Saccharomyces cerevisiae S288C: one gene and its partners. Changing the gene in region 3 together with the main gene of any one other region gives a genetic interaction. Each region holds a gene or a part of one and is shown on either strand. Other genes may lie near its edges. The genes, in order: VMA21, GCS1 and AGE2.

What was found.
Region 1: mutations in AGE2 (region 3) and VMA21 together harm fitness more than expected from each alone (negative genetic interaction), as found in Saccharomyces cerevisiae (3 studies listed by BioGRID, with this or other methods).
Region 2: mutations in AGE2 (region 3) and GCS1 are lethal when combined (synthetic lethality), as found in Saccharomyces cerevisiae (7 studies listed by BioGRID, with this or other methods).

What each region holds. Positions count from the first base shown.
Region 1 is NC_001139.9:688,982-699,332, forward strand, and holds VMA21 (Vma21p), read left to right. Parts: upstream 1-9,617; coding exon 9,618-9,851; downstream 9,852-10,351. Other genes in the region: TEL2 (Tel2p), read left to right, coding at 1-984; GTPase-activating protein MDR1, read left to right, coding at 1,264-4,116; rhomboid protease PCP1, read left to right, coding at 4,382-5,422; GTF1 (glutamyl-tRNA(Gln) amidotransferase subunit F), read right to left, coding at 5,603-6,154; mRNA-binding ribosome synthesis protein NOP7, read left to right, coding at 6,436-8,253; SRB5 (Srb5p), read right to left, coding at 8,464-9,387; VOA1 (Voa1p), read right to left, coding at 10,008-10,351. UniProt on the Saccharomyces cerevisiae protein: Functions with VOA1 in assembly of the integral membrane sector (also called V0 sector) of the V-ATPase in the endoplasmic reticulum. Escorts the assembled V0 sector in COPII vesicles.
Region 2 is NC_001136.10:46,075-57,250, reverse strand, and holds GCS1 (GTPase-activating protein GCS1), read left to right. Parts: upstream 1-5,077; coding exon 5,078-6,136; downstream 6,137-11,176. Other genes in the region: WHI4 (Whi4p), read left to right, coding at 905-2,854; septin SHS1, read right to left, coding at 3,151-4,806; HO (Hop), read left to right, coding at 9,220-10,980. UniProt on the Saccharomyces cerevisiae protein: GTPase-activating protein (GAP) for ARF1 and ARF2. Involved in intracellular vesicular transport. Required for transport from the trans-Golgi network.
Region 3 is NC_001141.2:267,441-278,454, reverse strand, and holds AGE2 (GTPase-activating protein AGE2), read left to right. Parts: upstream 1-4,608; coding exon 4,609-5,505; downstream 5,506-11,014. Other genes in the region: TED1 (Ted1p), read right to left, coding at 1-29; APQ12 (Apq12p), read right to left, coding at 316-732; GVP36 (Gvp36p), read right to left, coding at 950-1,930; protein kinase PKP1, read left to right, coding at 2,163-3,347; CBR1 (cytochrome-b5 reductase), read left to right, coding at 3,529-4,383; putative protein phosphatase regulator PIG2, read right to left, coding at 5,678-7,294; ubiquitin-binding SDF ubiquitin ligase complex subunit MET30, read right to left, coding at 7,882-9,804; YIL046W-A (uncharacterized protein), read right to left, coding at 9,982-10,146; SYG1 (Syg1p), read left to right, coding at 10,632-11,014. UniProt on the Saccharomyces cerevisiae protein: GTPase-activating protein for the ADP ribosylation factor family.

The DNA of each region.
Region 1 (10,351 bases), on a different chromosome or scaffold from region 3:
TTTAAAATCAATATACCGAATGTCAAATTCGAAAGCAATAGCGATGATAAAATCATTGATTTCCAATCTTTAAAAAATCCATCCATATGCAATACCCAAACTGATGTGGGTAAGGATAAGATTACTGAGGTCTCGGGTCATGTTCAAAGCCTTACATTGGACTGCAGTGATAGCGATGATGAAGATGAGAACGATGAGCGGGAGATTGTTAAACGAATTGTATTTTTAAAAGATTTAATGAAAGAATACGAAAAAACTGGGGAATCTCGAAAAGCTCCATTGATACCACTTCTGAAGCAAACAGTGAAATTGATACGGCAAAAGGCGGATTTTCAGTTAGAGGTTGGCTATTATGCACAAGGTATTCTGTCAAGCATTGTGTGCTTGAATAATGAATTTGATGAACCGCTTTTCGAGCAGTGGAGAATAAACGCTCTAACAAGCATACTGGTCGTCCTTCCAGAGAAGGTGAATGGCGCTATAAATATTCTATTCAATTCAGAACTGTCGTTACAGCAAAGGATGTCACTATTGTCGGCTCTGGGTCTTTCTGCAAGAGAGTTGAGAGGGCTTGATGATCCTACTATTGTCAAGCCCAAGTTTGATTTTCCAACAAATCGTTTACCGTGGGATGATCAAAGCCATCATAATAGTAGGCTTGTTGAAGTTCAAGAGTCAACAAGTATGATAAAGAAGACGAAAACAGTATGGAAATCTAGAAAACTAGGCAAGGATCGAGAAAAAGGAACGCAAAACCGCTTTAGAAAATATGCTGGTCTATTCTTCTATCCGCTAGCACACGGTTGGCTTAATGGAATTGACGTAGGCACATACAATCAGCTTTTTAAGTCGCATTATTTAACAACACTGCGTATCATATACTCTTGCGCTAACCCGGTCCACGATTTTGAATCCATGACGGAGTTGATGAATCATATAATTAGTTCAGCCATAGAGGAAGGAATTTCTCTCAATAAAGGTTAGTAGCATAGTTATTTGTACCAATCTTATGATACATATTTGAATAAATTTAGTGCGTTCTCTGTCAGCGTCGTTAGTATTTAATGCACAGCATATTATTTCAGAAGGTCGGCCGACTCCTGCAACTGGGAAAAAGAACTTCAATAAGAAAAGGCCTGAACAAATCTGCTTGGTAAGGGCCCAACAACATTTAAGAAATTGTACATTTTGAAAGCACTGATCCATCAATTAAAGCACCGAACAACCTCAGAGTTGATACAATTATTAGTTAAAGGATAGGATATGTCATTTTTTGATTCTTTACGTCAAAAGGCACCCTTTTTGGATAAACTGGCAGACAGTTTCACTCCAACATTAACCAGAGATGAGAAATTCAGATTAAAATATAAACTTCCAGCTAATGAAAACATTTTGGAAGATACGAATGCAGAAGTTTCATTTGCAACTTCCATTAAAGATGGAAAAGGGCATTCTGATAGAGTGAACAATAAAGGGAGAAAAACTGCTTATGTGTATTCCGGGAGATTGTTTTTAACACCTCATTTTCTGGTATTTCGAGATGCATTTGATCATTCATCGTGCGTACTAATACTGAATATTTCTACCATTAAACGTGTAGAGAGGTCGCCATCCGAATCATATGAATTTGCTCTTCTAGTAACTTTGTACACAGGAGCAAAGGTTCTGATTCAATTTATCGGTATACGTTATAGATCGGAGCAGTTTTGTGACAAATTGAAACTAAATTTGAAAGAAAATATTCCTAATGCCAAAACTTTACCTGCTTTTCTAGAAACCTCATATTCGGAGTTCTTAATTGCTAAAAATATTCTAGGTAAAAAGGACATAACTGTACCCAGGGCAGGTCTAGGACAACATTTCAAGTATCCCGGTAATCCTACTATGGTAAAAGAAAAGGCTAAATTGAGGCTATGGTTCGATTATTTCAGAGAGAATGGAAGGAATTTGGCAGTTGTGCAAACTCCTATGTTCCGAAAGTTAATCAGAATCGGTGTTCCAAATCGAATGAGAGGTGAAATTTGGGAACTATGTTCAGGTGCAATGTATATGCGTTATGCAAATTCTGGGGAGTACGAAAGGATATTAAACGAGAATGCTGGTAAAACATCGCAAGCTATCGACGAAATTGAGAAGGATTTGAAGAGATCGCTGCCCGAATACTCAGCATACCAGACTGAAGAAGGTATTCAAAGGTTGAGAAATGTTCTGACAGCTTATTCGTGGAAGAACCCTGATGTTGGATATTGCCAGGCCATGAATATAGTTGTTGCAGGATTTTTAATCTTTATGTCTGAAGAGCAGGCTTTTTGGTGCTTGTGTAATCTATGTGACATCTATGTTCCAGGTTATTACTCAAAGACGATGTACGGTACATTGTTAGACCAACGAGTGTTCGAGTCTTTTGTAGAGGACAGAATGCCGGTTCTTTGGGAATACATTTTACAGCATGATATTCAACTATCTGTGGTGTCTTTACCTTGGTTTTTGTCTTTGTTTTTCACTTCAATGCCTCTAGAATATGCTGTTAGAATAATGGATATTTTTTTTATGAACGGTTCTATTACTCTATTTCAGGTGGCATTAGCAGTTCTGAAGATAAATGCAGATGATATCTTACAAGCCGATGATGATGGAATGTTCATTGCCATAATTAAGCACTATTTCCAAACTCTGGGACAAAGTGCTCACCCAGATTCAAGCGATATAAAATATAGACAAATCACGAAATTTCAAGAGCTGTTAGTTACGGCTTTCAAAGAGTTTAGTGTCATCAGCGAGGAAATGGCAATGCATGCAAGACACAAATATGAGAAAGGTATTTTTCAAAACATTGAGACTTTCATGAAAAGAACGCAACTGCGCCATATGCCAAAAACTTTCAACCTGTCCAGTGATGACTTGTCCAATATCTATGACATGTTTTACCAAAGTATAGAAACCTACAAAATTAGTATGGGAACGGGATCATCTAATATGGGTTTCGAAGTATTCATTCAGTTCTTGAGTAAATTCTGTGACTCCTGTAGACCGTGTGAAAAGGACAAAGATCCAGCTTTCCGGAAACAAAAAAGGAATTTTCTGCAAAGGTTATTTGATAACTGGGATTCTGCTCATATCGGCGAGTTGACATTGAACGATGTGGTAACAGGCTTGGATAAACTGGTAACTGTTGATCTTTTACAAGCTATAAACTATTTTTTCTCTTTATATGATACAGATGGCGATGGTGAATTGCATAGAGAAGAAGTGCTACAGTTGTCGGAAGGGCTGCTACTGCTAACGGAACCTTGGAAGAGCGGTAGATATGTAGATCTGTTAACTAAAAAGCGCATTGAAGATGATATTGCTGAAAACATCATCAAGGAAAGCGGTGGAGAGATAGCCACTATGAACCAAATCGAGTTACCAACTGGGGTTACTATTGATGAGGAAAAATATAAAGTTGAACAAGCAGAAAGATACCTAAAAGCTGCAAGCAATTTCCTACAAAGATCTTTTGAATATGCTAAAGCAGTTGATCTCGCGGAGGAGGTAAACTTGATTGACTTGTCTGATGATGAAGGCGAAGAAAAGCGAACGGTAAAACAAAAACAACTGGAAAGCATAAAGGCAAATGCAGCCCTAGATCCCACCCATCCAAAAGTAATAGATTTGCCAACATTTAGAATGATCATCCTCGCAGATGAAACTTACGAGCTTTTCTTTTCTAATACTTTACGATCATCTGTTCACGTCGACGAACATGTCAACATTGATAACAAAAATAAAGTCCTCAGAAGTATGTTTGACGGTATATTGGCAGACGGCAAAAGAGTTGCTGAGCAAGTTCGTCGTCGTGTCGATTCGGTGGCAACTAGGAGCAGCATTGCTTCTGTAGAGAGTACGCCAACAGCCGCTGCAAGTTCAATAACTACCAAAGAAGAAAAGTACGATGATCTAGATGATTTCACGTCAGAGCATCAACCCGAGAATGAAGAGTTATTACAAAGTTCCTGGTTTGAGATCGACGATGCCAATGAAACTAGCACTAAAGCCATACAAGAAAGGTCTTTTGAGCCTTTGTCGGCAAATTCCTCGGAAGAGAAGTCCAACCTTATTGAATTTGAAGCATGAAATCGTGCTTATCAATTTTATGTCACCCTAAAACATCTGTACGTGTTTATATAGATATTTAAAGCAATATTTGCCAGGATTTGGTGAAGATCCCTCATATAACTCTCATAAATGCGGATTTTCGGAGCGAAAAAAGCCTAAATTCTTGTCTGGAAGTATAATTGGCGGTGAAATAGAAAAGGTGGCAATCACGACTGAAAAGGGTACAGCTTTCGCAACTGACATATACAGACAGTGAAAAGTAATAAATTGCCCAAGTGTGAACATGTCAGGTGTAAGCTCTGTTATGCTCGGTCTTCGACCTGCTACAAGAATTTTTTTCCGCAGTAATATTTCGGTTTCACCTTCGAGGACTTTTGTATCATATATTGGAAGATCCCAGAGCACGTCGATACTCAAAAATGCTCCCAACTTAGAGGACAATGTCACAAATCTTCAGAAAATTATACCGAAACGGTTCTTTTCTCAAACATCAATTTTGAAATCAAGGTGGAAGCCTATATTCAATGAAGAAACTACTAATCGATACGTACGTTTGAACAGGTTTCAGCAGTACCAGCAGCAGAGAAGCGGCGGCAATCCTCTGGGCTCTATGACTATTTTGGGGCTCTCTTTAATGGCAGGAATATATTTTGGCTCCCCTTATTTGTTCGAGCACGTTCCACCCTTTACGTATTTTAAGACGCATCCAAAGAATCTGGTATACGCGTTATTAGGCATCAATGTTGCCGTATTTGGACTATGGCAGCTACCCAAATGCTGGAGGTTTCTACAGAAGTACATGTTGCTGCAAAAGGATTACGTAACTAGCAAAATTTCGATAATCGGAAGTGCGTTTTCACATCAAGAATTCTGGCACTTAGGTATGAACATGCTAGCGTTGTGGTCCTTTGGTACTTCACTCGCAACAATGTTGGGAGCATCCAATTTTTTCTCCTTATATATGAATAGTGCCATTGCAGGTTCTTTGTTTTCGTTATGGTATCCAAAACTGGCACGCCTAGCCATTGTCGGACCTAGCTTGGGTGCCAGTGGAGCGCTATTTGGGGTTTTAGGATGTTTTTCATATCTATTCCCACACGCTAAAATTTTGCTGTTTGTTTTCCCAGTCCCAGGTGGGGCTTGGGTAGCATTCTTGGCTTCAGTGGCATGGAATGCAGCTGGTTGTGCTTTAAGATGGGGGTCATTTGATTACGCTGCGCATTTAGGTGGCTCTATGATGGGGGTCTTGTACGGATGGTATATAAGTAAAGCTGTAGAGAAACAAAGGCAGCGTCGCCTTCAGGCTGCTGGTAGGTGGTTTTAATCACTTAAAAAAAGACACATTCTCATTCGAAATATTGTAAATACTGCTATGTCTTCTATGTACTTAATCTTATTTATGCATTTGAAAAATATTTCAGCCTTATCGTGGTGGTACATGTACAAGAAAATTCATAGGCAAAAGAATATATAGAATAGAGCGTATGTGTTACTTTTCTAAGTCTTACTTCCTGTTTTTGAGTAGTCCCTCTTTGACAACAAAATATGCATTTTTGGATTCCGCGGCAAGTCCAGTTGCTTTCCAAGATCCGCTAACTTCTCCTAGCTCAGCATCCTGCTTTTGGTGGCTGATGCCTTCAAGTAGCTTTGTGTAGTTCAGCTGTTTCGTATTTCTTTGCACCAACCGAGCATCATATTCCTTGGTGTGCTTTTCACCTTCGACAGGTATGTTATGGAGTTTGTTGATGAATGATAATTGCTTGGCAAGTCGCATTTGAATTTCTTTAATATCTGCTCCTTCCAAGGGAAGACCTGATAACCGCAACAATTTTTTTACAGCTTCAGCAGACGGTGGCTCTAGTTTTTCCTCTTTAGTGTTTATGCCTAAATATTCGTGGACGGACCATACAGGTCTTGATAAATAATCCCTTATTTGATTCATATTTTCAAATTTTTTACCAATCTTTGCCCCTCCCGTAGATACGAACCGATGACTTCCATCATGGCATAACCCACCCACTGTATGTGTTCTGCATAGACGCCATGTTTTGTACATCGTTCTAGCACTATGGGTAAGTGCAAATAGTTCGATCTAAAAGCCTAAATGCTAGTCACTATTACCTCCTTGATGTTATATTTACAGAATAATGTCATGTCGTCTGTGGTGACTATTATTATTGCCTGAAAAAATTAAAGAAAATTTTTTGCGATGAGATGAGATGAGAAAAAATGAAAAATTTTGGAAGGTTAATTAGAGATGTGTAGTAAATCCTGCTGGTGGAATACATTTTATTCCTGTAGAAAATAGTATAGTAACAGCGGTATCCTACTTATACAATGAGAATCAAGAAGAAAAACACCAGAGGTAACGCAAGAAACTTTATTACCAGATCTCAAGCTGTGAGAAAATTACAGGTTTCTCTTGCTGATTTCAGAAGATTATGTATATTCAAAGGTATCTATCCTAGAGAGCCAAGAAATAAAAAGAAGGCAAACAAGGGCTCTACTGCACCAACTACTTTTTACTATGCTAAGGATATTCAATATCTAATGCATGAGCCCGTTTTGGCTAAATTTAGAGAACACAAGACTTTTGCTAGGAAACTAACAAGGGCTTTGGGTAGGGGAGAAGTCTCTTCTGCTAAAAGGTTAGAGGAAAACAGAGATAGTTATACTTTAGACCATATTATCAAGGAGCGTTATCCAAGTTTCCCAGATGCTATAAGGGATATTGATGATGCTTTGAATATGTTATTTCTTTTCTCTAATTTGCCCTCTACCAACCAGGTTTCCTCGAAAATTATCAATGATGCTCAGAAAATCTGTAATCAATGGTTAGCCTATGTTGCCAAGGAACGCTTGGTTCGTAAAGTGTTTGTATCCATTAAAGGTGTTTATTATCAAGCCAATATTAAGGGTGAAGAAGTTAGATGGTTAGTTCCATTCAAGTTTCCAGAAAACATCCCCAGTGACGTTGATTTCAGAATTATGTTGACCTTCTTAGAATTCTACTCGACTCTATTGCATTTCGTCCTATATAAGTTATACACCGATAGTGGGTTGATTTATCCGCCAAAATTGGATCTTAAAAAGGATAAAATCATAAGTGGTTTGTCATCATATATTCTAGAATCCAGACAAGAAGACAGCCTACTAAAACTTGACCCAACTGAGATTGAGGAAGACGTAAAAGTTGAAAGTTTGGACGCATCGACATTAAAGTCTGCCTTGAATGCCGATGAGGCAAATACTGATGAAACAGAAAAGGAGGAAGAACAAGAAAAGAAACAAGAAAAGGAACAAGAAAAGGAACAAAATGAGGAAACGGAACTAGATACTTTCGAGGATAACAATAAGAACAAGGGTGACATCTTAATACAGCCAAGTAAGTACGATTCTCCTGTTGCTTCTTTGTTTTCTGCATTTGTTTTTTACGTTAGCAGAGAAGTTCCGATCGATATTCTTGAGTTCTTGATCTTATCTTGTGGTGGTAATGTCATCAGTGAAGCTGCTATGGACCAAATTGAAAATAAGAAGGATATTGACATGTCCAAGGTCACTCATCAAATTGTTGACAGGCCAGTTTTGAAAAACAAGGTAGCTGGCAGAACGTATATTCAGCCACAGTGGATATTTGATTGTATCAATAAAGGCGAATTGGTACCTGCCAACAAATATCTTCCAGGGGAGGCTCTTCCACCTCACTTAAGCCCATGGGGTGATGCTATTGGTTACGATCCAACTGCTCCTGTCGAAGAAGGCGAAGAAGAAGAAAGTGAAAGTGAAAGTGAAAGTGAAGATCAAGTTGAGGAGGAAGATCAAGAAGTTGTTGCTGGAGAAGAAGATGATGACGATGACGAAGAGCTACAAGCTCAAAAAGAGCTTGAATTGGAAGCACAAGGTATCAAATATTCTGAAACTTCAGAAGCTGATAAGGATGTCAATAAGTCAAAGAACAAAAAGAGAAAGGTGGATGAAGAAGAAGAAGAAAAGAAATTGAAAATGATAATGATGAGTAACAAACAAAAGAAACTTTACAAAAAAATGAAGTATTCTAATGCTAAAAAGGAGGAACAAGCTGAGAACTTAAAAAAGAAAAAGAAGCAAATTGCCAAACAAAAAGCTAAACTGAATAAACTAGATTCCAAGAAATAGTTTTCTCTTCTTTTCCAATAGCCTCTCAAAAATTTTGTCTTTTAATTTAACATCTTTATTACTTTATAATTCCTCGGTATAGCAACATTAGATATATAACTACACATTTTTGTTTGTAGATATAGAAATACCTGTACATTAAAAGTGGTTACTGTTGTTCTGTATAACTATATGAGTGAATTTTGTAAAAATATGCCCAGGTGCCAATGATTATATTAGAATATTTCCATGTGCTACCCTCGAGTCCATTGACTGTCTATCGGGTACACTTAACTCTATATAGCCTTGTAGTTCCTTTTTTAAGTTCATCAAGGCAGTCTCTGTATAGTTTATACGATCGATATCGGTCCCCCTACTAACATTGATGTATGCTTTTAAAAGGAACCCTCCGCTTGTTATTTGTGAATTGCCTGCTTCTTCTATTTGCCAAATTTTTTGTAACTCAAGTATTAAACCATGCTTCATAAAAAATTTCACACCAATTGTAAGATACTGAAATTCGAATACATAACCCAATCCGTTCATGAGCGAGGATACTGAAGAGTTTTTGCCAGCTGAAGATAATATGATAGTCTCAGCTATCGTTTGCATTGAAACACTTCTATTGTTTCCTGCAGCAGGAATATCTGAAATTTGCAATGACCAAGGGGAACATGACTCGTTTGAAGGGGCGGGACTTGCATCCATGTCGACATCTATGATGTCATCGCTGTTTCGACTTTCATTTACAGTATCTTCTGTATGCTTACTGTTGTTTTGATCTTCGTTTGTGCTGTTGAAGTTGGTGACTTGCGGAACTGTGTTGTGCAAGATATTCCGTGTCATAGCATAGTTAAGCGGGATTTTATCGTTTGTAAAAGATTTCAAGATTCTAAAGTTTAATGGCTTATCCATCATTGTTTCATCGATCAGGTAAGAAAATGGCACCTCTTTGGAAAGTTTTATTCTATTTGGTTCAACCAATTGGTTTCTAGAGTTCACGTTCTCGACGTCGTAAGATGGATTTGGTTTCCAGACAGTGCATAAACTGTTATACAGTAGCGGAGGATTACCTGATATTGTGGTCAAAGTTGAAATTAGTAAATCGTAGCCGTCATCACCAATAGATCCAAAAAGGCTTAGTTGCTGAACCATCTTTTCTTCTTAATATGGAATACCTTGGCTGGAAAATTCAATTTTCTACCTTTTTTTTTATTTTGGTTGTTTGTCTTCGATATTTGATAATTTTCTAGGTTATTTTATTTTTTTCAAATAAAAGAAAGGCAAAAGAGCTCTCACTATATATTACTAACCTGCAAGCTAAAATGAACGCAATACTGGAAAGCAATAGTAGAAACTAACCAAGACTTCAAAAGAATCAAATAATGGCTGTAGATGTTCCTCGTGCGGTGATTAATAAACTTATGCTGTTTACTGCAGCGATGGTGGTACTGCCCGTACTCACTTTTTTCATTATTCAGCAATTTACGCCAAATACCTTAATTAGTGGAGGTTTAGCTGCTGCAATGGCCAATGTTGTTCTAATCGTTTACATTGTTGTAGCGTTCCGCGAGGATACTGAAGATCACAAAGTTGATGGTAATAAAAAGGAAGACTGATTGAGTAGTATATGTTGCTAGAAGAGAATATACAAGAAAAATAGTAGAGGCTAAATAAAAAAAAAGTAGCATTAAATGTTATGGATGATTGGGATATATATGCAAATAACCCAATCTTACATATGTTTCTTTCAAATATATGAGTATATATAACGATTAATTGTTTTTTTTTATTGGGTTTGTTGATTTTTCCAACGCACCATATGTGATATCCAAATTAGATATCCAAGAAAGTGCAACAATCAAAATGAACAATAGCAACGCAGAAACTATTAAACACATTAGTAGTCCTTCAGTCCAGATGGAGCTTAAAATATCATCGTCGCCTTCTTTACCCTTGTTGTTATCATGATGGCTCAAAGTCTCTTCTGTTGCATATTCATCGTCACCATCTTCATCTTCAAAAGCCCAACCAAGAGAGTTAATAACCACAGTCAAATTGTCGCCAGATTTATCTTCCAAAAACGATAAGCAAGAATCAATAAATTCATCTAATTTTT
Region 2 (11,176 bases), on a different chromosome or scaffold from region 3:
ACAAATTCCCAGTATTCTTTGAAATCTATTTTTCTTCCTCAATTGAATTTGAATAACTGTCTACGCGGACTCCTCCTATCTACAACTACAACAAATTTTAACCACTTTATTACCACTTTCCTCTTTCATTTATTTTTGTCTTTTATGTTGTCAATTTACTAGTATTTTTTTTTTTTTCATTTACGTTCAAGGTTTTTTATACTCATTTAACTTGTCTTAGGTTATTTATATATATACCTATATATTTATATATATATATATATATGTATGTATATATTATTATCACCAAATGAGAAATAATAGCTAATTTGATTTTTGATTATTTAAAATATTGGTTTGTTCTTTCTGCAAACATCTCGTTTGGTACGATATTAGTGAAAAACGATGTAATTATCAACACGTGCATTACCCAGCGTTATATTTTCATTACCCGGACGTGGTGTTTTTTGTTTTTTAATGTTTCTTAGACTTAAAGAGGAATGGAATGGTTATTTGGATTAAATCATAGAAAAGTACAATTAAGGTTACGGCAGGAGCCTCGAACCGGTAGTTTTACAGAAAATAGACCCATCTGGTGGCAACACTAAATCATTGAAATAATAGCAAACAATTGTTTCAAAACTCCTCCCATTTGGATCTCATCTCAATTGTTTTTTCCTTCTTAGTTAAAAGTTCACGAAATTAGGAAATCTAAGAATCAAAATATAATCCGCTGTTATTTCTGCGTGTAAAGGTTTATCTTCTACTTGTGTCATATTTCACAAATTATCACTTTGCTAAAACAAGGGACTGACTTCTTTCTTTATTTTTCGAGCATTTTTCAAAAAAGCAGGGTTTTTGAAAACAGGAACCTTAGTTGCCACATCTACGCTGAAAAATAACGCTTAAGGTTTCTCAATTAACAATGTCATTAGTGCATAATCAGACGAATTTAAACGAATCCAAATTTCTTATAGAAAGGGCATTTAGTTCTAGTTCAGAAACCGTTCCATTATCAAAGGAGGCAACATATCCCATGCCAACTGCATATAGTTTTTCCGCAGTTAGGAGCAACAGCGAGACTAACATTAAAAGAGAGAACCCGCAAGGTTTTGCAAAAGAACCTATTATGACTTCTATGCTTCATAATTTGACCATGTCCACGGGGAAAGGGAACGGGAATGACGTCAATTCTTTAGCCCCACATGATGTGGATGTTGGCCCCTACTGTCTTTTGCTGAGGAATTTGCCAAAAGACATTACACTAAGAGAGTGTTATTGTATATTTTCACTAGCAACTGGGGTGTCAAGTATAGAACTAAAAAGGGATGATAGAGAACCCTTTAATGACAATGAAAAAGTCGTTGTGGTCAAATTTGGATCCCTTTCTTTAGTAACCCATTATGCTAATATATTAAACTCGAAGTCTGAGATTTTTGGGCCTAGTTTCCCCTTTAGGTCTCACATTGACGTAGTAAATGAACAAACGCAGCTTCCAGTGAGTTTTCAAGAACATGTTTCATCTGGCACTACAAATAGTTCTCCAAAGAATTACCAATTGTCGTCCAGTGCGCAAAATGAAATTCAAAATCAAAGTTTTAATACTATATCATATGGAAAAACTAGTTCCTCTCCATTAGGGCCTTCAGCGGCCAAGCCAAGGCCTTCATTACTTTCAGAGAGATCCCTCCGTTTCTCATTCAATGACCCATTCGGATTGGAAACAATCTCTCAAAGAAAAGAATCCGTACCCTTTCTACGAAATAGCATCTCACAACATGATTTATCAAACGTAACCACCACACCAGTTCCAGCAGGAATGCCACCTCAGAAGGACGCTGGCAAGTCACTTTTGCTACTAGAAAAGGATGAAATAAATGAAAGTATTTGGAATGGTGATGAATTAGTTAATGATGTTGGTAATTCTTCATTTGGTGCATCTTTACAAGAGCCTCCGATGTCATCTACGCCTGTGATGGAGTGGAATGCTTCCTCAACTGCTAATATTCCTCTTTTTCAATTATCTAGCCAAGAAAATCATCAGTCTAATCTGTTGCCTCCATCCCACCATTCAATTAGCCAGGATGTTCCACATATTCAATCACAACCTAATCTGAACAATTCAGGAGTAATACATTCCGCGACTTCTCTACCGCATTATCACTTATTGAACCAAATTAATGCTTCAACTAAGACACAAAGTATTCAGCAGAGCGTTTCGAATGTTCCTTCCAATTTGGACCTGAATCTCCAAACGGAAAATGGCCACCCACAATCTTCTGCTCCTAACGGGTCTTCAATATTCAACAACCAAAAGGTGAATCAAGGCTTTTTAGTGAGTGAACAAGACACCAGTACAATATCACGACAGAAAGAATGTTCTTCTACAGCTTCTGCCTCTGCATTTTCGAAAAATAACGAAACAAATGTGGCAGGTTCCACAACTATTTCACAGGCTGACCTATCACTACTAGCCAAGGTGCCACCACCAGCCAATCCCGCGGACCAAAATCCTCCTTGTAATACTCTTTATGTGGGTAATCTACCTCCGGATGCCACGGAACAAGAATTAAGGCAATTGTTTTCTAATCAGCAAGGTTTTCGTAGATTATCCTTCAGGAATAAAATGAACTCTCACGGTCATGGCAACGGTCATGGCCATGGTCCAATTTGTTTTGTAGAATTTGAGGATGTTAGCTTTGCCACTAGAGCATTGGCAGAATTATATGGTAGTCAACTACCTCACCCCCGCCCTTCCCTCAACAACAAAGGAGGTATCAGGTTGAGCTTCTCTAAAAATCCATTAGGCGTTAGAGGCTCAAACAGTAGGAGTAAATCTGGTTACAGCTTTAATGGAAGTTACGGGAAATCATGATAGATTTAGTATTGCTTTATTAATTTTCTTTTGCTTTACTTTCTGACCTTCGTTTTTACTTTTTGGATTTTGCAGTTTTTTCATGCTCTACTTATTTAGTTTATGCCATATTTAAATTTATCCCTACAATTATTTGACACTGTTTGTATGTGTGTTCCCTTCTTGAAGGCTGTGCTGAGGAAACTTTGTAGTTGGTACATAAATTTTTGATCAAAAGTAAAAATACCCCCGTTCGGTAACTTATACATTTATTTATTTATTTATTTGCTCAGCTTTGGATTTTGTACAGATACAACTCAATCTCTACCCGATGCAATAGAGGCTAAATCAGTATACGTGTCATTTTTTTTAATTTGGCTCCTTGTGCTCTGTTGTAGAGAATTGATTGAAGATGATGAACCGTTTAGTTTATTCTGATTTATTAGTTTTTCCCTCAATTTCAATTCGTGTGCTTTTCTTTCTAATTCTTGAATTCTTTTTTGTAATTCTTTAGCTGACTGGGCCTCTAACTCTTCCAGTTTTTGTTGTCTTGCTAAAATTCTTTCATGTCTCAAGACATATGGAACGGTTTCTGAAATATTTCTTAACTTGGTACGCTCTGGTAAGTCCGGAGAGTTCAAGAATTTTGGTGAAGATTCTGTTTTGATAGATCTTATCAAATTTTCATTTTCTTGTTTTATTTCTCTACCCAACTGTCTCACGGGAGACATTTCCTGTTCATTTTCTGCTGAATCATGTTCGCCATTGTCTTCGTATTCGTTTTCCTTAAAGTTTCCACTTACTTGGTTTCTTGGTGTGTCCGCTCTCAAATTGTTTGCAAGAGTTTGAGAAGAATTGAATTGACCAGTGCTTATCAAAGAGGCAAAGTTGCTTAAACTTGGAGCATTTGACTGTCTCTTTGTAGAATTAGGACCAATTTCTTCAGCGTTGGCCACGGACGATAGTTTTTCGGAACGGTAATTCTCGTAAAGCAAATTTTGCGTGGTGTCTTTGAATTCTTGTAAGTGAGAACCAAACAGGACGTTTTTTAAAACTTTCAAATCCGAAATTTTGTCGTCGTCGATTGATATTATCCCCCACGGATACTCCCTAACGTATCTACCTTCACTATCTCTGGTATCTGAAGTTATAATAGCAAATGGTTGCAAGGATGCCAAGGCTTGATTCTCTTCCATGGATTCCAAATCATCATCTTCAGGGTCAACCTCAAATTTGTAAATTGGGACGTTGTATCTTTCCACATCAAACATAATATTTTTCCTGAATTGAGTTAGCTCCTCCTTGGTGAATGAGTCAGCTCTTGTTATTATTGGCAGTACATTTGTGTATTTGGAGATGCTTTTCATGAGCTCTACATCGACTTCTCTCAGACCGTGTCCAGTGGGTTCAATAAAATATAATGCTACGTGAACCCTGGTGTCCTCAAACCTCGGATTCCTTTTAATTCTGGTTTCCTCAGCTAAAACAATGTCAAATTGTTGTTCTAAATACGACATAACTTCCTCAGAACACAACGAATCGTCCAAGTTTTCGCCTATACCATGCGTCATAATCAAGTTGAAAAACACGGTATCATCCTCGTTCATTTCTGGCTTTCCTTGATCTTTGTTGCCCCCAAGTTCTAATGAAGTGGAGGTGATGGTAATACCTGGTTCCAAATTGGCTCTCATTGGATCGAATTCAGAAACATAAGATGGAATCCCATTTTTCGAATTAAATGAAACAACTTTTGTCGGAGCAATAACTTTTACTTCTGGGTTAGAGCTAATACTAGCATTTGATTTACCGTATTGATACTTATGCGGAAAGATCTTAGTTTCCAATAGATTGTTAGCAAAGGCGGTCTTTCCTGTACCTGCTGGCCCACATAGTAACATTGTGTATGTGATCCCACGTTTATGTTCTTTCTTTCTACGAAATAAGTTAATTGGCGGTGTTGAAGCAGTGCTCATGATTAATAATATATTTTTCTAGCAATTATAAGCAGATCTTTGGGGCTCTTGTTTTATTATTTCACTTGCTGGGTACATTGATCTTGCTCGAAAGCTTGTTATATTCTTTTCGCAGTTTGGCACTTTAAAAATCGCGCGGTTACCCGCAAGCAACGCCAGTTTTTGTCAAGAACCAAATTGCACAACTATATCAAGAATGAAAGCAGAAATATGGACGTGATTCTGAGTTTAAATGGTGCCAATTGAGCAATTTTATCGCGGATTATAGAGCATGTCAGATTGGAAAGTGGACCCAGATACCCGCAGGCGTCTTTTGCAATTGCAAAAGATTGGTGCAAATAAGAAATGTATGGATTGTGGTGCGCCAAATCCACAATGGGCCACGCCTAAGTTTGGAGCTTTCATTTGCCTTGAATGTGCCGGTATCCATAGAGGGCTTGGTGTGCATATATCTTTTGTAAGATCTATCACTATGGATCAGTTTAAACCGGAGGAACTTCTTCGTATGGAAAAAGGTGGTAACGAACCTTTGACTGAATGGTTCAAGTCGCATAATATTGACCTGAGTTTACCACAAAAAGTGAAATACGATAACCCCGTCGCAGAGGATTATAAAGAAAAGTTAACATGTCTTTGCGAAGATAGAGTATTTGAAGAGCGTGAGCATTTGGATTTTGATGCTTCCAAGTTATCAGCAACCTCTCAAACCGCTGCATCCGCTACGCCTGGTGTTGCTCAAAGTCGAGAAGGGACACCACTGGAGAACCGTCGATCTGCAACACCAGCAAACTCTAGTAATGGTGCCAATTTTCAAAAGGAGAAGAACGAAGCTTATTTTGCTGAGCTGGGCAAGAAGAACCAATCTAGACCAGATCATTTGCCCCCTTCTCAAGGTGGTAAATATCAGGGCTTTGGAAGTACACCCGCAAAACCTCCACAAGAACGGTCTGCAGGGTCCAGCAATACTTTGAGCCTGGAAAATTTTCAAGCTGATCCTTTGGGAACATTGAGCAGAGGATGGGGCCTCTTCTCCAGCGCTGTAACCAAATCGTTCGAGGACGTAAACGAAACGGTTATTAAGCCTCACGTCCAGCAATGGCAATCCGGAGAGTTGTCAGAAGAAACGAAGAGAGCAGCTGCCCAGTTTGGCCAAAAGTTTCAAGAAACGAGTAGTTATGGATTCCAAGCATTTAGTAACTTCACTAAAAATTTCAATGGTAATGCAGAGGATAGCTCTACAGCAGGGAATACAACCCATACAGAATATCAAAAGATTGATAATAACGATAAGAAGAATGAACAGGACGAGGACAAATGGGACGATTTCTAATTTTAATATAGTTTTTCTCAACATTCAAGGAAAGTTCAATTCACATTGTAGCTATAATGGAGAAGTGGTTCTGTAAAGTTTACACGTAATACTTCTGTCTCTAAATTTGTATTTTTCATATCTTGACAAGAAGAGGTTTACTCTCTAGGATTATAAATAAGTCTACACCAGTATTCATAAATAGTTACCACAAGGCCATATCGTAAATTATTATACAACCTATTAATTACAAATAGAATTGCAATCCTTTCCCATCGGCGTTGTTGTACTGTTGCAAGGCTAATGACGGCTATTATTAAAAAATGTTTTAGACCTGGGACAATCGTTATCCTTTTCTTCATTATTTGGATGTTTGCGCCTTAAAATTATCCTGGGCACGAGTGAAACAAAGCTAAAACCTTTATTTAGCATGGCCATTGAATGTAACAATTATATATATCGCAAGCACAAAAAATCAAGGAGAGAGAACTACCACTTTGTTCATGTGTACAATGTTCATTATCTCCATAAGCAAAAAAAAAAAATAGAAAACATATGCTATAAGGTTGATATTCTCACGAGTAAGCGGCACTTGCTACTTATTGACATTGCAGATTTTTGGCTACAGAAATAGTATATTAGAGATTATAATTGCTAATCAAATCAAAATATAAAATTAGTAAACCAAACCATTTATACCCTTCCTTAGTAGTTATGGATTGTTTTTTAATGATATTTCTGCAAACCAAAGAAAGATTGTTATCCAGATAGAATTTAGTTTTGATATTCATTTTTTTGTTGAAGATTGAACGCCATATCTGGGCCTCATAATTCAAAAGACGGTGCCATTATCGGTAGCGTTTCGCATTGTACTGGATTTCAGAAATTTCACAGTTGATGAATCGAAAAGAATGGTCTCATTGCAACACGTAAGGTTAAGATGTCCCTTTTTACCATTATAGGCAATAAATGAATCATAAAACGACCGTATACTGGTGAAATAGTAGGGAGAACGAGTACCTGTAGTAAAAAGTATAAATCATAGTTAATCGGGCAATGTCCCTCGATCAAGGAGTATTGTGTCATGTTCGAGACAAACGCCAACATTTTTGTTTCTTTTGGACAAATGTTGTTTGCATTTATGATCCGTTATATTTTGATCTAATGTAGAGTTGCACGTAGTTCTTACTGGCAAAGAAATCGATGCATACCAAAAAAGAATAAAGGTGATATTTGATCTTTACCGTTTAGTTCCAACGTAAAATTGTGCCTTTGGACTTAAAATGGCGTGGCAGAACTAACTCTTTATTTTTCCAAATCAGAAAAATTAATATGTTTTGCCGCGTTAAAACCTACATCAAAAAAGGCGGATCAAGATGTATGAAAGAAAGTGCGTAGAATAACGAACATTCATAGCTGTTCTGGAGGCTTTACAAAAGGTAATCTTTGTTAGGTGCGATTTTATCCGAAAAGCAATTACTCTCTATGTTAGTCATACAAACTGACTTCTGTGAGAGAATTATTTTCATATCAACGTAAGATCACATGGTTCCTTTATCAAGTACTACTATCATTCCATTATATGACCTATTTACTTCTTGAATCTTAGAGCTCATAATTCAAGCAAGTTGCGGAGCTAAGAATTTCACATGTTGTTGAACTTAACAATCTTCATTATACCCAATCGCTGCGTGCTGGAATTATGTTAAAAGTTACATCCTTTTTTTCATTTTTCCCTACGCTCAGGGCACTGTACTGCCCGTGCCTGCGATGAGATACATCAATTTAAAAAAAAAACCAGCATGCTATAATGCTGGAGCAAAAATTTCAATCAGAAATAGAAAAGACCTCAACAGTAATTAACCCAAAGGGGTATCAAATAATCGATGTGCTTTTTCACTCTACGAATGATCTGTGAGAAACTGATTTGGGCCGAATCGCGTAAAAAGTTTGATTCGTGGCGGCTAATGTCTGAGGGGCTCCAACAGGCTCGTAGAGCCTCGTTTCTTGAGGGCACAAAATGTCCAGGTAATATTCCCAAGAAAGAACCGCAGAGTGCTTTGATAAATCGGTTACAGGTCTTAACGTAGGTTTTGTCTCGCTAATTGCTATTGAGTAAGTTCGATCCGTTTGGCGTCTTTTGGGGTGTAACGCCAAACTTATTACTTTTCCTATTTGAGGTTGGTATTGATTGTTGTCAAAGAATGAAAATATACACAAACGCCACAATATACGTACCAGGTTCACGAAAACTGATCGTATGGTTCATACCCTGACTTGGCAAACCTAATGTGACCGTCGCTGATTAGCGGATCACGAAAAGTGATCTCGATACAATTAGAGGATCCACGAAAATGATGTGAATGAATACATGAAAGATTCATGAGATCTGACAACATGGTAGACGTGTGTGTCTCATGGAAATTGATGCAGTTGAAGACATGTGCGTCACGAAAAAAGAAATCAATCCTACACAGGGCTTAAGGGCAAATGTATTCATGTGTGTCACGAAAAGTGATGTAACTAAATACACGATTACCATGGAAATTAACGTACCTTTTTTGTGCGTGTATTGAAATATTATGACATATTACAGAAAGGGTTCGCAAGTCCTGTTTCTATGCCTTTCTCTTAGTAATTCACGAAATAAACCTATGGTTTACGAAATGATCCACGAAAATCATGTTATTATTTACATCAACATATCGCGAAAATTCATGTCATGTCCACATTAACATCATTGCAGAGCAACAATTCATTTTCATAGAGAAATTTGCTACTATCACCCACTAGTACTACCATTGGTACCTACTACTTTGAATTGTACTACCGCTGGGCGTTATTAGGTGTGAAACCACGAAAAGTTCACCATAACTTCGAATAAAGTCGCGGAAAAAAGTAAACAGCTATTGCTACTCAAATGAGGTTTGCAGAAGCTTGTTGAAGCATGATGAAGCGTTCTAAACGCACTATTCATCATTAAATATTTAAAGCTCATAAAATTGTATTCAATTCCTATTCTAAATGGCTTTTATTTCTATTACAACTATTAGCTCTAAATCCATATCCTCATAAGCAGCAATCAATTCTATCTATACTTTAAAATGCTTTCTGAAAACACGACTATTCTGATGGCTAACGGTGAAATTAAAGACATCGCAAACGTCACGGCTAACTCTTACGTTATGTGCGCAGATGGCTCCGCTGCCCGCGTCATAAATGTCACACAGGGCTATCAGAAAATCTATAATATACAGCAAAAAACCAAACACAGAGCTTTTGAAGGTGAACCTGGTAGGTTAGATCCCAGGCGTAGAACAGTTTATCAGCGTCTTGCATTACAATGTACTGCAGGTCATAAATTGTCAGTCAGGGTCCCTACCAAACCACTGTTGGAAAAAAGTGGTAGAAATGCCACCAAATATAAAGTGAGATGGAGAAATCTGCAGCAATGTCAGACGCTTGATGGTAGGATAATAATAATTCCAAAAAACCATCATAAGACATTCCCAATGACAGTTGAAGGTGAGTTTGCCGCAAAACGCTTCATAGAAGAAATGGAGCGCTCTAAAGGAGAATATTTCAACTTTGACATTGAAGTTAGAGATTTGGATTATCTTGATGCTCAATTGAGAATTTCTAGCTGCATAAGATTTGGTCCAGTACTCGCAGGAAATGGTGTTTTATCTAAATTTCTCACTGGACGTAGTGACCTTGTAACTCCTGCTGTAAAAAGTATGGCTTGGATGCTTGGTCTGTGGTTAGGTGACAGTACAACAAAAGAGCCAGAAATCTCAGTAGATAGCTTGGATCCTAAGCTAATGGAGAGTTTAAGAGAAAATGCGAAAATCTGGGGTCTCTACCTTACGGTTTGTGACGATCACGTTCCGCTACGTGCCAAACATGTAAGGCTTCATTATGGAGATGGTCCAGATGAAAACAGGAAGACAAGGAATTTGAGGAAAAATAATCCATTCTGGAAAGCTGTCACAATTTTAAAGTTTAAAAGGGATCTTGATGGAGAGAAGCAAATCCCTGAATTTATGTACGGCGAGCATATAGAAGTTCGTGAAGCATTCTTAGCCGGCTTGATCGACTCAGATGGGTACGTTGTGAAAAAGGGCGAAGGCCCTGAATCTTATAAAATAGCAATTCAAACTGTTTATTCATCCATTATGGACGGAATTGTCCATATTTCAAGATCTCTTGGTATGTCAGCTACTGTGACGACCAGGTCAGCTAGGGAGGAAATCATTGAAGGAAGAAAAGTCCAATGTCAATTTACATACGACTGTAATGTTGCTGGGGGAACAACTTCACAGAATGTTTTGTCATATTGTCGAAGTGGTCACAAAACAAGAGAAGTTCCGCCAATTATAAAAAGGGAACCCGTATATTTCAGCTTCACGGATGATTTCCAGGGTGAGAGTACTGTATATGGGCTTACGATAGAAGGCCATAAAAATTTCTTGCTTGGCAACAAAATAGAAGTGAAATCATGTCGAGGCTGCTGTGTGGGAGAACAGCTTAAAATATCACAAAAAAAGAATCTAAAACACTGTGTTGCTTGTCCCAGAAAGGGAATCAAGTATTTTTATAAAGATTGGAGTGGTAAAAATCGAGTATGTGCTAGATGCTATGGAAGATACAAATTCAGCGGTCATCACTGTATAAATTGCAAGTATGTACCAGAAGCACGTGAAGTGAAAAAGGCAAAAGACAAAGGCGAAAAATTGGGCATTACGCCCGAAGGTTTGCCAGTTAAAGGACCAGAGTGTATAAAATGTGGCGGAATCTTACAGTTTGATGCTGTCCGCGGGCCTCATAAGAGTTGTGGTAACAACGCAGGTGCGCGCATCTGCTAAAATGTGTATATTAGTTTAAAAAGTTGTATGTAATAAAAGTAAAATTTAATATTTTGGATGAAAAAAACCATTTTTAGACTTTTTCTTAACTAGAATGCTGGAGTAGAAATACGCCATCTCAAGATACAAAAAGCGTTACCGGCACTGATTTGTTTCAACCAGTATATAGATTATTATTGGGTCTTGATCAACTTTC
Region 3 (11,014 bases):
GCAAACTTCTTGACCGCACACCTGAGCATCTTGGGATTCTTGGTACAATGCTGCTGCTGTTGTTTTCAGTTCTTCAATCGCGACCGGATAAATCGCTTGTAATAACTTAGTTTGCAATTTTTCTTAAAACTTCAGAAATCAAGTCACAATTGTAATGAATAATTTGGAAAACACAAGTCACCAAAAATAGCTCAATATTTGATAGTGACTAGGGGAGGAATCTAGCAAAAAAAACGTTCTTTATCTATATGAATATTTAGAAATTAAGATATGTAATTACTTTAAGATGTTCCGAGTAAGCAGAGGCGTTTCGCTCTATTTAAGCAACTGTTCCATTTTCATCTGCGCCAAATGATAAACAGTGTTGATTTCTCTTTCCAGGGCATTAATAAACAGAGTATAAATTTTAAATGCGTAGTATCTATTTGACATGACGAAATTGTAGAAATTCAACAGGTCCACAGTCAAAAACTGCTGCGAACCACGCATATAAATACCGATACATGTTACTACCAACGTCAAATACAGGAATCTTTTGACCAGAGTAATGAAGTTCATCAACAACTTGTAAAAGACATAAAATGTGAAGAAAATAAACAATAGTTGGAAAACTAACGGGTGTGATTGGCTGAACTTAGTAATAGTAGGAATCAACCATTGGATGACGTCAATGGCAGACTTTAGGCATTGTGTTACTACGGATAGTTCGTATTGCGGTTGAGTAGCGTCCATTTTTGGGTTGCTCACTTTGCCCTTTGGTGACTGTTACGAAATTTTTTTCAGTAGCTTTTTCTCTTCCAGTAATTATATTTTCTCTACAAAAAATATACTCACTACAAAAGCCAGCAAATAAATGATAATATTCGTACGACACTAGAGAATATGATATTGTATTAAGTAAATATATATATATAGAGAAGGAGAGAGAAAGACAAGAACAGGGCGGCTATTAAGCGTCGTCTTCGTCATTCATAGAGATAGCTGTCTGTGGCTTTTCTTCTTCTGCAACCTCAGGCTTTGCTTCCGGCTCTTCCGCAAATGAGTTGGATAGGAACTCTTTCATTAGGCCAGCCGAGGTTTCAAAATACTCAGCTTGAGCCTTGGCCAATTCCTTCAAATCTTCACTGAAGTTAGCGTGAGAAATAACCTCCTGCAAGCACACAGTAGCGTCTTCAGTGACTTGAGCAAACTGGTCTTCCAAAGTCTCCATTTGGACTCTCAAGGAAGCTTCCTTTTCTGGCTTCTTGTTGTTTGCCAAGTTAGTTCTTGCCACGTCATATCTTAATCTCATGGAATGGACATCCTTGCGGCACTTATCGGCCTTACCGATCTCAAAAGAGAGCCTTTCCCTCAAATTTTTATTGAATTTGGTTTGAATCAAGGTATCTTGTTGAATTCTAGCTTGAGCAATCTTAGCCTGCACATCACTGAATTGCAAGAGTGCCGAAGCCAAGGGTTGTTCCTCGGTGGGGAACATCTTGTTCAAACATTCACTGGAGTTCAAAGCCACTTTACTGAGGGCGTAGTTCAACGTCTTGGGTTCTTTGATGGGGCCTGGAGCAACTAAGATGTTTTGTGCCTCAGACGCAGATGTAGCATGAGTCAACTCTGTCAACTTGGAAGCCACGCTTCTTGAAAACTCGTTGACGGATTCGTTGATGTATTTAGGGTAATCGTACGATCCGTTTTCGTAGATAGCAGTTACACCCAAGAAGTGGTTGTAAATCAGTTTGATGGTGTCAACCTTATCTTCCAGCTCTGTGTACTCTCTTGGCAATTGGGAGATGTCCGTCACCTGGCCCAAACGTTCCTGGACCATTCTTTGGGTGGATTGCGCCAAACTGGGCAATTCCTGGGTTTTTTCGGAAACACTTGTGGATATTTCCTGTAATTTCTTGCTCAAAGAGCTGGCGAAGGCATTAAACGACATTGATGACTATGATTTGTTGCTTATTCCACTCCTCTGCCTACAAATCATATAGGTTATAGGTGAAGAAGGTTGCAATTTTCTTGTTTTTGACATCCCGATTAATCCACCGCTCGCTTCTCACGGTAATAAGGGAAAATGTCTGCCAGTATGAAGCAAACAACATTAAACTGAGAACATTGGTGAGTCAAGACCATAACTGGAAGACGTGGTATCAAGACGCCTTCACGGTAGTATGTGGAAGATTATGCGTTCATGGAAATGTGGGGGAATGCGCTGGGCACATCGCCAGCGACCCTCACACGAGCTGCTGTCGCAACTGTCGTTCGACCAGCATTACAAGATTAGGTCGAACATTGAGCTGCTGATACAGGACTACGCTAGTAAACCAATTGCGCCCCTAAACTACGAGTATTTCCTGCAATACAGGCCGCCGCTGACCAAGAAGGAGGAGTACATGCTGACGATCAAGACAATCAACCTGTTGCTTTCATTGACGTGTAAACGGCTTAATGCCATTCAGAGGCTACCGTATAATGCGGTAATCAACCCTCATATTGAGAGAACCAACTCTTTGTATTTGAAAAGCTTGCAAACGTTGCTATCAATCGCATACCCGTACGAGTTGCACAATCCTCCCAAGATACAGGCCAAGTTCACAGAACTGCTGGACGACCACGAGGACGCCATTGTGGTATTGGCAAAAGGTCTTCAGGAAATCCAATCGTGTTACCCAAAGTTTCAAATTTCGCAGTTCTTGAACTTCCACCTGAAGGAGAGAATCACGATGAAGCTGCTTGTGACGCACTATTTGTCGTTGATGGCACAGAACAAAGGTGACACGAACAAAAGGATGATTGGAATCTTGCACCGGGACCTCCCCATAGCACAATTGATCAAGCACGTTTCTGATTATGTCAATGATATATGCTTTGTGAAGTTCAACACTCAGCGGACCCCGGTCCTAATTCACCCGCCATCACAAGACATCACATTCACGTGCATTCCGCCCATTCTGGAGTATATTATGACAGAGGTATTCAAGAACGCTTTTGAAGCTCAGATAGCTCTTGGAAAGGAACATATGCCCATAGAGATCAATCTTTTAAAGCCAGACGATGACGAGCTGTACTTACGGATACGGGACCATGGTGGTGGGATCACGCCCGAGGTAGAGGCCCTCATGTTCAACTACTCTTACTCTACACATACCCAACAATCAGCTGACTCTGAGTCTACAGATCTGCCCGGCGAGCAAATCAACAACGTCTCCGGCATGGGCTTTGGTCTACCAATGTGCAAGACGTACCTAGAACTGTTTGGGGGCAAGATTGACGTTCAAAGTTTACTTGGCTGGGGCACGGACGTGTACATCAAGCTCAAAGGCCCTTCTAAGACTGCACTACTCTCCAAAAAGTAACAGTGCTAAATTTCCTCGTAAAGCGGTACCATTAAGGGCTCTTTCTACTTCTTTAAATTATCTACATATGTATAAATATTCTTATTATATAAGGCGAAAAAATGAACGAGAAAAAAAAGTGTTGAAAGTATGCATTCAACTGGCTCTTCAACAAGAGACTCAATCAATTAAGCAATCGAAGATGGCTATTGATGCTCAAAAGCTTGTGGTGGTCATCGTGATCGTGGTCGTGCCTTTGCTCTTCAAGTTCATTATCGGACCGAAGACCAAGCCTGTGCTGGATCCCAAAAGGAATGACTTCCAATCATTTCCGCTGGTTGAAAAAACCATCTTAACGCATAATACTTCGATGTACAAGTTCGGGCTACCTCATGCTGACGACGTACTCGGTTTACCAATTGGTCAGCATATCGTAATTAAGGCCAATATCAATGGTAAGGATATTACCAGATCGTATACGCCCACATCGTTGGATGGAGATACAAAGGGAAACTTTGAATTACTAGTGAAGTCTTACCCCACAGGTAACGTTTCTAAGATGATTGGAGAGTTGAAGATAGGTGACTCGATCCAGATCAAGGGCCCTCGTGGGAACTATCATTATGAGAGAAACTGCCGTTCCCATCTAGGGATGATTGCTGGTGGTACTGGTATTGCGCCCATGTATCAGATCATGAAAGCTATTGCCATGGACCCTCACGACACTACCAAGGTCTCTCTAGTCTTTGGGAACGTCCATGAGGAGGATATTCTGTTGAAGAAGGAACTGGAAGCGTTGGTGGCCATGAAGCCTTCCCAATTTAAGATAGTTTACTACTTAGACTCTCCTGACCGTGAAGACTGGACTGGTGGTGTAGGATACATTACCAAGGATGTCATCAAGGAACACTTGCCCGCTGCTACAATGGACAACGTTCAAATTTTGATCTGTGGTCCTCCAGCCATGGTTGCCTCAGTTAGAAGAAGTACCGTGGACTTGGGGTTCAGACGTTCCAAACCGCTTTCCAAGATGGAAGACCAGGTGTTTGTGTTTTAAGATAAGGAACTGTAACAGAGTGCCATATATATATATATAGATTGGAACATATATAATATATACGCTATTTAGTTTAGTCACCTAAACGCACCGTTTCCATATTTCGTGCTGGACGATTTTCGACTCGATAATACGTATAAGATCGGTACTAATAGTAACAAAAGTAAAGGTAATACTTGCTTCAACTGTACAAAGGAGCATAGAACGTGGGGCAATTTACAAGCGATGTCGACGTCAGTCCCAGTCAAGAAGGCATTAAGTGCTCTTTTACGCGATCCAGGAAACAGTCATTGTGCCGACTGTAAGGCGCAACTACATCCACGCTGGGCTTCCTGGTCACTTGGTGTTTTCATTTGCATTAAATGTGCTGGTATACATAGATCATTGGGAACGCACATTTCGAAAGTGAAATCTGTTGATCTGGATACATGGAAGGAAGAACATTTGGTGAAACTGATACAGTTCAAAAACAATTTAAGAGCTAACTCATACTACGAAGCTACTTTGGCTGATGAATTGAAACAGAGGAAAATCACTGATACGAGCAGTTTACAAAATTTCATCAAGAATAAATATGAATATAAGAAGTGGATTGGTGACCTCTCCAGTATTGAAGGGTTAAATGATTCTACTGAACCAGTTCTGCATAAGCCGTCTGCGAATCATTCGTTGCCTGCTTCGAATGCAAGATTGGACCAGAGCTCAAATTCATTACAAAAGACGCAAACACAACCACCTTCCCACTTATTAAGCACCTCAAGGAGTAATACGAGCTTATTAAACCTACAGGTTTCATCGCTTTCTAAGACTACATCTAATACAAGTGTAACTAGTTCTGCAACAAGCATAGGTGCTGCTAATACCAAGACTGGCAACAGAGTCGGTGAATTTGGGCAAAGGAACGATTTGAAAAAATCCATTTTATCTTTATACTCAAAACCTTCTGCCCAGACTCAAAGCCAGAACTCATTTTTCACTTCCACGACACCTCAGCCTTGTAATACTCCGTCACCATTCGTGAACACTGGAATTACCGCTACAAATAATAATAGTATGAATTCAAATTCCAGTTCTAACATTTCATTGGATGATAACGAGTTATTTAAGAACGTCTGGAGTTGAATAAAAAGTAAAAAAAGAAAGCAAATATAGAAAGCAACAAAAAGAACATCATTCCAGTATATTATTTTATATAAAGAAAATGACCTTCAAATAAAAATAGAAAGTACGTATTCTTATCTTTTTTTTTTCTTTTGTATATGTAAAACAATACTATTAGTTTTTGTTTTTTTCTTTAATGGAATGGGTTTCTGAAAAGACTATGTTTCATCTCGTAGTTATCATTGACGTCTGTTGTGGGCCCTGTCCTCGTTTCATTCGTTACCACGTCAATTTTATAGTTTGCCGAATCATTATTGTCCCAATATTCCTTCCTAGAACGATCAACGCCCCAAGTTAAGTATTGAATACAAAACTCCAATTGTGATATATTGCTATCTTTATCATTTGGATTGTGTATATCATCAATGGAGAACTTAAAAATATCCATATTGCTTCCTGGTAAGATGCCATTGGCATTAGAAAAATACACGCATTCTGATTCATGAAAAGTTCTCCATGCATCCCATGTATATCTTACGATAATCTTCTTATCAAAGTATATGTTTTTCACAAAGACTTTGCCAATTATAACCATGTTGTGGAAGCCAGTTAGTAGCGTAATTTCTTGCAAAAAAACGGGCCTTCCACGGGAAAGATTCAGAAATATGTTAAGTTTTAAACTCTTACGGTTCCTGTCACTTAATATTGGAAAGTTCTTGTTGTAAAGACCAACAATTCTTTTAGAGTTTCCAATAAACAAGTTGGCTCCTGATTTAGCAGAATTTGTTCTTGTTTCTAAATAATCGTCGTCATCGTTTATTAACAAATTCTTCAACCCGTGCGCAAGATGAGCTTGGTCTTTGTCTTGTTGCCTTACTAAACGGTTTATAGCGTCGTCACTATCATTGTCATTTTCAATATCACTGTCATCGTCACTTAGTTTAAACTTCTTTTTTTTATTTCTACGATTATTAGAATTTGTACCAAATAGGAATACACCCTTCGGGTTTTGTAGCCATGTATCTCCATATTCGTTTTGGTTGTTTTCAGATAGTAAATCTTCTATAGGTACGCTATCACTACCGCCATTAAGGGCACTTAGTCTCGTCAAAGGCTTATGCTTGAAATTCAGAACATCTTGTTGAACCATTTGTTTGCCAACATCTATGGGTTTCTCATTTTCATTGAACAGCTTTATTGGTAAAACACGATCGAAATGGACACTTTTACTTCTTTGCAATAGCCTAGTATCTACATGATCTAAATTGACATGTTTACTCTTAGAGCCAGTTTTGTTGAATATAGATTTGGGAGTAATGGGTAGGGACTTGGATCTTCTTTTTAATGAACTCTTAACCAGTTCTCCAGATTTCTTGTAAATGGGAGGTGAAGGATTACCATTTTCCTCGGATTCATACTGGAAATTATCATGTGATAGAGGAGAGATTTCGTCTTCCTCCTCGCCTAATTTACTGACGTCTTGATGATGTGCGTTAAAGTTCGCTCCAGAATTTATAAACGGGTGATGGGCATGAACTTGTTTCCCATTAAAATACATTCCCTTATTCATGTCCGTATTTCTTTGAAGCTCGTCCTGAGGTAATCTGTGCAGTTTTACATTAGATAGTCTCCTGGGCTTGTGCAAAAACTCCAGAGAGTTCAGCCTGGCAGGGTGCATGTGCATGCTCATACCAGCAAAAGTTCTTATATTCGCATTTATGTTTCCATAGTTATTGTTGTGGGCACTGTTATTAGGAAGATTTAAAGGTTCATCCATCAGTATATTTTGTGGTTGCGTGGTGGTGGCCATACGGATAAAAGCAATAATACTAGCTAGCTATATTATCTTTTTTTATTTATTATTAAGCTATTACCAAAGCTGGCGCCTCAACTGTTGGGTTCTTGTCTATTTTATGTATATTCTATATTTCAAGGATTACGGAATCGATAAGTATTCTATTATGTAATCGCCTTTATATACAATGGCCGTGCGCGTTTATATAATAAAGTACCTTCGCCCTTTGGATTTATTAGTACTGTTGAGGGAACAATATTGCAGATTATGGATCTTGTACGACATTTTATGCGTACGCCCTCTTCATCATCGCCGTCAATATAATAAGCTTTATCTTCAGTCCCCCCCTTGACATCCCCCTTAGCGTGGGAAGGGCTCCGTGGGGGAGTAATAGCATCTAATGGTCAAGAGTTTTATCGAGACGAAAAAGAGGAAGGAAAAAAACTGAAGATGGAAAAGGCTAGTGATACGCTAGCGATTTATTTTTTTCCTGGAAATAAAATAAATGTAAAATGCTATTATGTATTTTTCATTATATATGTAAGCATATATATTCGAGGTACTACGGATGTTTTTGACCAAGAAAAGACCACACACAGGTCCTAATCATTGAGATCGAATTTGTACATTTTTACGCACCCAAATTCATCACCACTAAAGCATTCTGAATCTCCAATACAAACACAAGCGATAGGGGCGACTTTATCACCCAAGGATTGTGTTTGTGTGTGCTGAGTTTCTCTTTGTAGTCTTCGACCGTTGAACGTGTGCATACACTTCCCGCTTTGCAAGTCCCAGACCTTAATGCTTCCGTCGTGAGAACCACTTATAATTCTGAAGTTGTCAGCGGCGATGTCCCAAACACCTTCCACGTGCCCAAACTGTGTTCTTATGCATTTACCGGTTTTGACGTCCCATAGTTTGATTGTGTTATCCAGTCCGCAAGATAGTAGATGTGTTGGATAAGGTATGTTTTCATCTAAGACAGTTTCTTGCTCGTTCGACGGTGTGTCTGATTCGTCTGCACCATCAGTCATTGTTGGGTCATCCTGCGGAGAGCTGCCATCAGAAGTGTTGTCGGTGGCTAGATTCTCTACATCCTTAATGGTAAGCGGTATGATCTTTTGCACCTGCCCTACATGACCCCTGAACACTTTTAGGCATGAATTGGTCCTGATATCCCACATTCGGATTGTGGTATCGTCACTGCAACTAAAACATGAAAAGCTTTTCGGATGCAATTTGACGCAATTAACCCATTCCGTGTGGCCTCTCAAGGTGTAGCATGTCCTGGACTCCACGTGCCATACCTTGACCGTCTTGTCAGCACTGCCGGAAACGATAACCTTCTGGTATGAATCTACGCTCAGAACGCTATCCGAGTGGCCTCGATACGTGGAAATGCATTCACCGGTTATGTAGTTCCAAACACGGATCGTCTTGTCGAGCGAGCCCGTAATCAGCTTTCTATCGTCAAAATATAATGTCTTGACGCCGTCCGAATGGCCGCTGAGCCTTCGTATTAGCTTCCCCGTGAATAAGTCCCATATACCTATGGTGGAGTCGTACGAGCCTGTGAACAAAAGCCTGTAGTTAAACTGGAGCGTTAACACACCATCCATGTGGCCCTTGAATTCCTGAATCCTGCAGTGGCCCTTTCTCCAGTTTGACTCCACTTTGAACCGTTCTCTGTAGATGACTTTCCAAGGTCGCGTAGTTTGCGTCTGGATATCTGCGTTGCTGCTAGATCCTGTACTATTCTGTTGTATCCGCGCACGTTTCATGTGCAAAAGAGGCAGCCCCCAGCCACAGTTGGGACATTTCCTGTCTATGTGCTGCTCGCACATGTGGTACCATACCCTGTCGTCATCCGCGAGCTTCTGCCACTTGCGGCACACTCTCGTGGCGTTGCAAAGAGATTGGCAATCCAGATAACTCAAGATCTTCAGCGACAGCTCCTGCGGCAGAATGCTGATGAAGTCGATCTTGATCATGTGTGTAACGAGTGACGAAATGTAGGAAAGCTGTGGGAAGCAACTCGTCGATAGGATCCCATCCAGAATCAGCTTCCGTATCTTGTCATTGGAATTGCTGTACTTCGAGATAATGTGGTGGATGTCGGATTGCTCCTGCAGGGGTAGCTTCGCGATATTAGCATTAATCTCTTGCGTTCGTTTCAAATCCTGCTTGTAGCACGCTGTATGAGTTGGTGAGAACTGAATGTCCGGGTTATGCCGATAGCAGAACTTGGTGAAGTTATATTCTGGCAATGGCTGTACCCTAGTGCCGCTGTCGTTTGTCGCCAAATCGGGTGATGACGATGGCGACCTCGTCGCCATCGTCATCTTCTTCTTACCCGATGATCCTTGTGCCAAATCATCGCTACTGCCCGTAATAAGCAATCTCTTTAATGGTGGCATCATCGCCGTATCTGTCATTTCACTGCTGTTATTACTATTACTATTGTCAAGGTCGTCCTTGTCCTTGTCCTCGAAACTCATCATCCTTTGCCTCTCTCTCCTCATGCCCTTCTCCTTTATAAATCACCAAACACACACCCCTTTACCGATACTCAAGCCTCTTCTCTAAACTTCTTTAACTGCAGTCTTCTCTTACGATACAGACTGCAAGGTTGCTTTCTTCTTACGCTGATGAAAAAAAATAAAATATCTCCGCGCAAACTGTGGCTTCCCGATCACGTGCTACAACCTCATTTCTACATTAAAACACACACATTGTACCACACACGCCAACACACATATACACGCACAATCACTCCCACACATATACAAACACACGACATATGAATATATATAGTACACGCGCCAATCCATTAGTTTTTTTTTTGGGATACAGACGCACATCATGGCTTCTTGCCCGTTTAGTGCAATACAATAGCCTTGTGTTGCCGTGCCACACCCTGCAGTTATCTCTCCCAGATCTGTCTTTCCATCCCCTTAGTTGCTATCGCTGCAGCCATTTGTTCAAAATCGTTATCACCATCATTCATCATCACTTATCATTATCATGCACATGCTGCCAGCCGCTGCGGCTGGCTATGTGTTGGTAGTCATCGAGTCGGAAGCCCATCATCGGTGTGGGTGTGAGGCATTTCTAGAACGGATTTTGGGTGCCGTTTGTCACGTGGGACGGGATGCGGTTTTATTTGACGCAAGTTCCATGAACATCATCGCACGGTTTCGCAACAGTTTGGGACTGTACATGTACAAGATGGGTTTTCTCCTTTGCTTTTTTGTTTTGTTTTGTTTGATTTGATGGTTGGTAGTTATTTTTTTTTTTTTTTTAATTCAGTTGGCAGCAATGGAAGGGCTTTACCATAGCACCGTATCAGATGAAGTTTGCTGACCATCTAACCGAGTCTGCCATCCCGGAATGGAGGGACAAATATATTGATTATAAGGTCGGCAAGAAGAAGCTTCGCCGCTACAAGGAGAAGCTGGATGCCGAAGAAGAGCAATCCAGCTCCTACCGGAGCTGGATGCCCTCTGTGTCGGTATACCAGACTGCATTTCAGCAGAGAGAGCCCGGCAAAAGTCGCAGCGACGGAGACTATCGCTCCGGACCTGCGTTCAAGAAGGACTATTCTGCTTTGCAGAGGGAGTTCGTTGCTGACTTCATTGAAGACTGGTTGATCTCGTTCCAGTTGAGTAAGTGTAACGAGTTTTACCTTTGGTTGCTAAAGGAGTGCGACAAGAAGTTTGAGGTTTTACAGTC